Sus scrofa: one gene and its partner. The protein of the gene in region 1 interacts with the protein of each later gene in a pairwise test. Links are inferred from orthologs where the notes say so. Each region holds a gene or a part of one and is shown on either strand. Other genes may lie near its edges. The genes, in order: LSMEM2 and LSMEM1.

What was found.
Region 2: the proteins of LSMEM2 (region 1) and LSMEM1 interact in binary tests that used the Homo sapiens proteins (3 or more experiments, as listed by UniProt). The two-hybrid records come from large-scale screens. The link is inferred for Sus scrofa from reciprocal best matches to the Homo sapiens genes LSMEM2 and LSMEM1.

Annotation. Positions count from the first base shown.
Region 1 is NC_010455.5:32,751,185-32,755,465, forward strand, and holds the start of LSMEM2 (leucine-rich single-pass membrane protein 2), read left to right. Parts: upstream 1-1,340; 5' UTR 1,341-1,726; coding exon of another isoform or gene 1,727-1,776; coding exon 1,777-1,790; intron 1,791-1,969; coding exon of another isoform or gene 1,970-1,974; coding exon 1,975-2,102; intron 2,103-4,277; coding exon of another isoform or gene 4,278-4,281.
Region 2 is NC_010460.4:33,187,997-33,192,245, reverse strand, and holds the start of LSMEM1 (leucine-rich single-pass membrane protein 1), read left to right. Parts: upstream 1-1,335; 5' UTR 1,336-1,476; coding exon 1,477-1,603; intron 1,604-3,944; coding exon 3,945-4,073; intron 4,074-4,249.

The DNA of each region.
Region 1 (4,281 bases):
ACATCATCACTGCAGTTAGAGGCCATAGGTTGATTGAAAAAGGTCAGGCTCTGGCTATAATTCCATAACACAGGGTGGTTTGGGTGTCTGCAGAACAAAGCCCTTCAGAGGTGCAGAAGTGAATGTCTGCCTCATGGTTATTTGGAGCTGGGAGTCCTTGAAGAACAAAGCTATTGCTAGTATGTGTGCAACTCGGGGAAAAGAAACCATTCTTTTGGTCGTTTAGACCATATGATGTCATAAAAGTCTTAATAAAAATGCTCCAGTATGATTTTGTCAGAGAGCAGAGGCGGGAAAGTCAGCTCACTATTTGTTCCGTATCCCACAAGTGGGTTGAATTTGATTTCAAGGAGATGGAAAATTTCCTTATTTGAAACAGCACACATGGGTGAGGTTGTAAGTACAGCGTATTGTTGTATAAGAAGCAGAACAGCTGATATAATTATACCTGGGGGCGGGAGTGCATTGGGGGTGTGTGAAACAAATGCCATTTGTGGAATTTAACTTAGTGTGCCCCATGCCTTGGGTCCCATTGTATGGGGGAGTCAGGTAAAAGCCCTGGGATAGCCCCCTGGAAGGTGCGAGTGTGCCTAGCAGAGGTCAAGGGAGTAGTGATTTAGGTAGTCATCGGAAATTGTAGGTTCAGGTGAAATGCAAGAGAAAGGCTACTAGCCAGCTGGGACTGTTGATGGCATGGCCAGCATTCTTGTAAATATTCCTCTTTGAATATGATTTTGGAAATGTTAAGTGAGTTTTCTTGTCATTGTCCCTATTCCACCCCTAGCCTGGGAACTTCCTTATGCTGTAGGTGTGACTCCTAAAAAAAAAAAAAAAGGGAAAGAAAGTCATTTTCCTGCCTGCAATGTCAAGGGTGACTCGAGGCTCCCTTGGAGCAATGAGGATGCATTGTCTTAGGATCTGGAGCCCACCAGGTCCTTGGGGCATGTTGGTTGATCATTTGGTCTGTAGGTCCCTCTGTGTGATGGTATCTCACCCCAATTTCACCAGGAACTCGGGCTGCTTAGGGTTGTTTCTTTGTTGCCCACAAGAGGGAGCTTGCAACAGGCCCCCCCCTCCTTCTGACAAAAGGCACACTGGTTTCCCCCCAGGTGGCTCCTAGGCTGTCTGCCTGGGTTTGTCAGCCCTTTAGGGTCCCCTCGACGACACAGTGGGTCAATCACAGCAGCCCAAAGCCGTGTTTTCTTCACTGGCCTCTGTTAAGTCTCACTGCTGAGGATGGACCTTGAAGGCCTCCTCTACCAAGGCTGACAGCGGGGTTTGGGGCCCAGCCTCAAGCTTTTGTAACTTTCTCCTGAGCGCGGGAGCAGACTGGGTGGTCAAATGCAGGGCTAAGGGCGATGTCCCTTGTGCAGACTCAGGGTCTTAATTGGTGCCCTTCCTGAATGCCTGTCACCCGGCTCAGGAAGACTGCTGGGTTTCCCTCTTTGGGTTCTGCGTCACTTCTGGGACCTTGTCAGAATCTAGGCTTTGCCATCCACCTTTTCATTGCTTCTGACAGACGAGAAATATACTGTCCCATCCTGGCCTGTGTGCTTGTGACCTTCCGAGTGTTACCCCTGCTTGAGCCATGTGGTGGTGTGGATTGGTGGCCACTGGGCTCTCTGTGTGGTTTAGGGGTGTCTTTGCCTCCTTCTGATAAAAGGCACACTGGTTTTAGCCCAGGTATTTTCTTGTGCACAGGAGTCCATTCAATGTCTTGGTTACCATGGGGGACATCACTGGAGGTATGAGGAGGTTTGTTCGGCTGAAGGCTCCATGTCCCTGCACGTGTGAGTAGCAGGGTGTCCTGGGAAAGACCGTGGCCCCAGGCCCTCGTTGAGGTACATCCTCCCCTGGGCTCCAGCACCAGGCAGAGTCCAGGCTGGTCTATGTGGGTCACTCCGCCCCTTCCCATGGTGTTGCCCCCTCTAAATATAGCCCAGTGGGCTGAGCTCAGTTCTATTTTCAGTGCAGGCTGGGAGGTGGCCAGGCCTTCTCCGGGGTCATAGGAGCCACTTCTACTCCCTCCTGTCCTGCTACTGGGCACGCTCATCGGCTCCTGGCTGCCCACCCACCCACCATGCCCGAAGGAACCCAAGAAGGTAGGAAAATAACTTGAAGGGAGGGTAAGGCCCCAATCCTCTGACTCTGTGGACCATGGAGAAACCTGGCCTCTGTCCCACTGACCTCATTTTCTTGACTCGTCATTAATCACTATATCCCAGAAGAGAGACCTGCCCCCGCTGCGCATGAAGGAACGGCTTACTGAGTCTGGAAAGCCTCTTCAGCTCAGGCCTATTCCTCCTGCAAGGGACTGCAGGGGGTGCTTAGAGGAGCTTCCCCACTTGGGGGAAGAGTAAACCAGAGCCTGTGCTTAAGTGGGCCAGGCAGTCTGGCCAGTGCAGTTCTTCCTTCGGGGAGGACACTGGGATTGGGGGTGGGCAATGGTTTTGGATAGCGTTTGGGTGCATGGCCCAGGGACTGGGAGTGTATAGGATTCTAGCCTGAAATGTGGGCTAAAAAGTTGGGGTCCCTTGGCCTGGCCTGTCTGACTTCTAGTTAAGACTTTGGTGGCTACCACTCATTGCCCCACTGTATTCAAGAGGGATGGAGGGTTGGAGGGACAAGAGCATTGACTTGGGAAGCTTCAGATACAGTGCTGCTCCAAGGCTCCAGCCTGATCTAATCACTCCTCCCATCACATTTTCAGCATTTTATACTGGATGGGAGGGGCCTGGCCCCGGGTGTGGGGGCGTCTTAACAATAACATTTACTAGGGTTTTTCCTGGTAACAGAATCCAAGTTCAGTTTAAAGTGTGTGAAAAGCACAGCCAAGTGCAAAGAGGGAATTTAATATGAACCTCAAACTACCATCACCCAGTCATAATGACAGCCAGTACCTGTTTTTGTTTCACTTTTTTTTTTTTTTGGTCTTTTGTCTTCTTGGGGCCACATCCACAGCATATGAAGGTTCCCAGGCTAGGGGTCAAATTGGGGCTGAAGCTGCCGGCCTACATCACAGCCACAGCAACTCGGGAGCCAAGTTGCATCTGCGACATACACCACAGCTCACGGCAACGCTGGATCCTTAACCCACTGAGCGAAGCCAGGGATCAAATCCACATCTTCATGGATCCTATTCAGGTTCATTAACTACCGAGCCACAATGGGAACTCCTGTTTCACTTTCTTTTGAGCATGGCAGAGGCCCGTTTGAAGCAAATCACAAAGGTTGAGGTACTGTACTGAAAGTGATAGGCCCAGAGTCCAGTCACCCTTGCCTGTGTCAGGAGGTATCCCTGCAGTGTCCCTCCATTTGACATCTGAAGATCTCAAGGGGCCAAGATTTAAAGGAGGGGGAAAAAAAAAAAAACACAAAAAACCCCAGAATACAATGTTTAGAAATCACAAAACAAACACTCCACTGGGTCTGAAAATAATTAAAATTACAGAAAAAGTACACAGATTGCAGTGACTACATGGGCAGAGGCTGTGAACTAGGAAGCCACACACATATTGGTCAGGCTCCCCAAGCAAAGAAAACCAACCAAATTGGTCAAGAAAAGCCTTTCCTCATTTCCCAACTTAGCAAATATATGTGTGCACTTAGGTATATTAAACTTTTTTCAGTGGAGATGCCTAATGGTGGCAATATTGTACTCTTTGGGTGGCTGTGGACAGCCATTCCTGAGGTCGCTTTGGTAATAGCCTAAAAGAAAAAGTCCCTGTCTTGGATCCAGTAATCCTACTTCTGGGAATCTGTCGTTAATAACTATGGGGAAATTGGGGAAATCTTTATACTATCATGCATGTCCTTTTCTAGGGTTTATTGGAAACAACCGAAATGCCCAGGCAGCCTAGAAGGGATGCCTGAGGGGAGACCTCAGAGGCAAGCGGAACAGTTTGATAACAAAGGCCGGTCTCCTGTGCGATGTTAAGTGAAAAACAGTAGCGTTCCCAGAAACAGAGCAGAATCATGCTGAGTACATCTAAAGGGGGCAGAGTGAGGCTGGGAGGGAAAGGCACAAGGCTGCCTAGAATGGGGCTGCTGCTGCTGGGGACAATGAAGAGACCCAGGCATAGGGTGTACAGGGAAAACTGACAGCAGAAAAGGCAGGAATGAATTTCATGGGTTGTGGGTTTAGTCCTCCCAGTCAACTGCACCTGCTATTACTGGGGGCGAAAGGGGTTGTTTTGGCTCCAAATCAGGGATCATTCTTCAGTTGGTGTTAGGTGCTTAGGAGCCAAATGCCCCCTCTCCTCCCTACCTTTTCTGAGCTCC
Region 2 (4,249 bases), on another chromosome or scaffold:
TGAAGTATATTTGGAATTAGGTAATATCAATGTCTGAAGTGCTTCAGTAGTATCTCATCAAAAATACTCAGGGGGTGATGTGTTCTTGTTAATTAAAATTTCTGAAGAACTGAAACACCCTTTAAAATTTTTTTTTTAACTTTGAAAAAAATTAACTAGTTCATTACTTTTTGAACTCACATTTTCTTAGGGTTCTGGAAGCATATTTTTTACACATGCTAGTAGGTTTTAGGTTTTACTGGGAAATTGCTGAGTTTCAAGATTTTATTTGTTTGTTTGTTTATTTATTGTCTTTTTAGGGCTGCACCCATGGCATATGGAAGTTCCCAGGCTAGGGGCTGAATGGGAACTGTAGCTGTCAGTCTACACCACAGCCACAGCAACTCGGGATCCCAGTCCTGATTTCGACCTATACCACAGCTCACTGCAACACTGGATCCTTAACCCACTGAACAAGACCCGGAATCGAACCTGCGTCCTCATGGATGCTAGTCAGATTCGTTAACTGCTTAGCCACAATGGGAACTCCTGAGTTTTAATATTTTAGAGTGCAGTTTAGTCTGTTTAGTAAATGGCTGATTTTTTTTTTTTCAGATCTTCTATAGGTGTTCTTATTTTTTTATTTCTGTATTTGGTTTCTCCTAACTCTGGTCATATTTCTGTTTATTCTGTAGCTGTGTATTAAAGGAAATTTTAAAAATGTTAAAGGAAGTAAATAAATAGTGTGTTGTCACATTAAAGGCAGGTATGAAGTTTATTACATTGCTTTTACTAAGATCTAGATATCACATGAGGCTCTTTACCTCAATTTTATTTGTCAGTGTACTATTAACTGCCTCCAATTCTTTTGGAAATAGGAAGATTTAAACCCTAAATAAAATATTTTATGTGTTCCACCTTAACATAAGTCACTGGCTTCTAGACCTTTATACTGCACAAAAGTACAGTTTTGTATTAAAGCCTCATCAGTTAGAACGGTTCTCAGTAATATTTTCTCCCCTCAGCATCTTTATGGCCACAGGCTGCCTCACTTAATTTTGTCTTTCTGGGTGTTTATGCATAGTCGTCTTGCACACAAGATTTGAGGCATCTCACTAGCGTATGAACAATGTGATAAAAGAGAAATATTGAAAAGTCAATTACAAAATTAAAAAAGAGACCCAAGGGAAATATAGGCAGAAGTGAGAAATCTGAAGAGGAAAGCACATATGCATGTAAGCAGAGTATTAAAGCATTAAAATGGGGCCCACGGCAGACGCTGAGCTTCCTGGCAAGCAAAGCAAAAACAAGAGTTGCCCCCACAAGGGAGTATTTTCTTTTGGACAAGCAAAGCTTTTCTGGCCCTTCATTGGGAAGTAATTCGTGTGGGTGGTTCTTCAAGTGCCTGCCCAGCTTCCTGTGGGCTGTGATCCTGGCCAAGTCCAGCTCCCCAGCCCAGCGTCCTGCGTTTAAGGTCCGCGTTTTCTTCCGGGGACAATGAATCGTTCTTCCCAGGACACCGGCTCTCGCGGCCTTCCTGAAGAAAGAAAGCTTTACGTTGTGGATTCCATAAATGACCTAAACAGACTAAACCTCTGTCCTGCCGGATCGCAGCATCTGTTCCGTACGTGAGCCCTCCCAGGCTTGGCGGCCCGTCCTGGCTTCTAGGCCACCTAAAAATAGCCACCGTCCAGCCAGACCTGTGGGCGTGGTGGGGGCTGGGTGGGCATTAGGACGGCTCCGCGTTAGAAATGCTGTTTCGTATTAGGCAATTTGTGCTTTTGTTTTCTGAATGCTTGCCAGGCTTATGGGCTTTCTTGGCTCTTGGCAAGATTTGAACTCTTGTCTGCAAAAGTCCCGAAAAGTCCCTGTGGCCTTTCTCCCCCTGGAAAGGGGTGGAGGCTCCCGAGATGGGCCCCCAGAGGCTCACTCATCCTCCTGGCTGCTTTCGTGCCTTCTAGTGACCACAGGCAGGTCACCTGTGGTGCCCGCTTTCCTAGAGAGGTCTTACTCGGAGCGGATTGCTGAGAAAATGTTCCACGCGTTTACCTAGTTTTTGAAAAAATCATTAGTTTTTTGGGCAAAAGAGTCAACTTTTTTTTTTTTTTTTAATTCGAAGATTGCCCCAATTAAAGTATTAGAAAAAAGAGGGGGAGACTAAAATGAAAATCTGTTAAGTACCAAATAACTTAATGTGGGAGTTCCCTTGTGGCTTAGTGTTTAAAGATTTAGCATTGTCACTGCTGTGGCTCAAGTTTGATCTCTGGAATGCTTGCATGCTGTGGGCGTGCTCCCGCCCCCCCAAAACCCAACAAACTATAAATGTATGTCTTGTCCCTTAAGTATTACAAATGAGTTCTAAGATTATTAGAACCCCATCTTTTCTAGCTTCAGTGCTGACTTTCCAGCACAGGTGATAAATGCCCCCTTGGTTTGTTTCGCGTACACTCTTAAACTCTTACTCTCTCAATTTATATCTATTATTCCCCTTCTAAATAATTTTTTTTTTTGGTCTTTTTGTCTTTTCTAGGGCTGCACCAGAGGTATATGGAGGTTCCCAGGCTTGGGGTCCAATCAGAATTATAGCTGCCGGCCTATGCCACAGCCACAGCAACTCGGGATCCGAGCCGCGTCTGGGACCTACACTGGATCTTTAACCCACTAAGCGAGGCTGGGGATCAAACCTGCAACCTCATGGTTCCTAGTTGGATTCGTTAACCACTGAGCCACGATGGGAACTCCCTAAATCTTTTTTGAATTCTTGTTTTTCTCTTCATTTTGATTTGTTCAGACTTTCGCTTGTTTTCACTGCAGTCGGTCTCAATAAGCATAGGGGTTTGGGTGCTGGCCTGTGCCAAGGCTTTGATTAGGAAGCAAAGGCTGTGGAGGCTGTGACATAAGATGCCCCTGAAAAGTGTGGGACCTACACCACCCATCTGTCCATAATCAAGTAGCAGAGGCTGTGGGCTGATATAAAGTAGGAGAGAATATGGAAGGTAATCCAGTTTCTGTATCTCTTTTTCAATTTAATTTGGGTATTATTAGGCAAATAGGTCTTACAAAATGGTGACCAAGTGCAGACAATTCATGGTTTGGGTGAACCGAACTGGTTTATACGCTTGGTTGCCTTCTCAGTTCAGCTGCACAACATTTAAGAAAACCTTGCTTTCCGAGCGTGTCCATCCTGAAAACAGTTTTAAGAAACCAAAGTATATCAGGGTATTTTGTTATTGTTATTTAAATGAATGTAGGCATTACAGGTTATTTTATTTCTTTTCTTTCCTTGGCTGCTGCATCTGCCGCATATGGAAGTTCCCACGCGAGGAGTCACATTGGAGCCGCAGTTGCTGGCCTACATCACAGCCACGGTCACGGCAGTGCTGGATCCATGACCCACTGAGCAAGGCCAGGGATCGAACCCACATCCTCATGGACACTCTGTCGGGTTCTTAACCTGCCAAGCCACAACAGCAACTCCCCATAATAGGTTATTTTTTTTAATAGGAAACAAAGTTTTCTGGGAGATATCTCAGCGCCTTCAGCATGTCACCTGGAGTAAGTGGCCCACAGCCAGCTTTGTGTAACTCCTGGATCATTTTGGGAAAAGGGCAATAGCGCCTCCATCACCTTGACCTTTCTTTATCCCCCTCACCCACCTTCCAAAAGAACAATCCATGTCCTGCTACGTCAGTTGTTAACATGATCTGCAAAGAATTTTCCCAGTAGGGGTTAAGGAGACAACTGGACTCGGCTTGTTCTTTGAATACTAATAGAGAAGAGCATGAAAAATTCTCAAAGACCACCCGGCCCAAAGACATTCCTAAAACAAGTCTCTTTCTAGAGTGATCAGAGGGCAAAATGGACATATCTCTCACGCATGCCTCTAATGCTGGGGACTGTTCAGTTCCCTGTGAAGCTGTCTGCTGAGGAGTTTTTGTCTTTGTTGCTGTTTGTTTTTGCCTTAGCTCTGGAGGAGAAAATCCCAGCCGACAGCAGTAACTCAGGAAATGGAAGCCACGGGCTGTTTTTGGTGGGGCTGATAATTGTGCTGATTGTCAGCCTGGCGCTGGTTTCCTTCGTGATATTCCTAATAGGTAAGTCCCTTGGAGATGTTTCTCATCACGGCCGTGCCCTTCGTAGCTGGTGTTTGACTTTGCTCCTGCAACAAGGCAAGGCTTCTTGGCATCAGGGCTCACACTGAAGGACAGGGGAGTGCCAACACACGCCCAGGATACCCTGCTGCTCTGGGACAGGTTGCAGACAAGCCCAC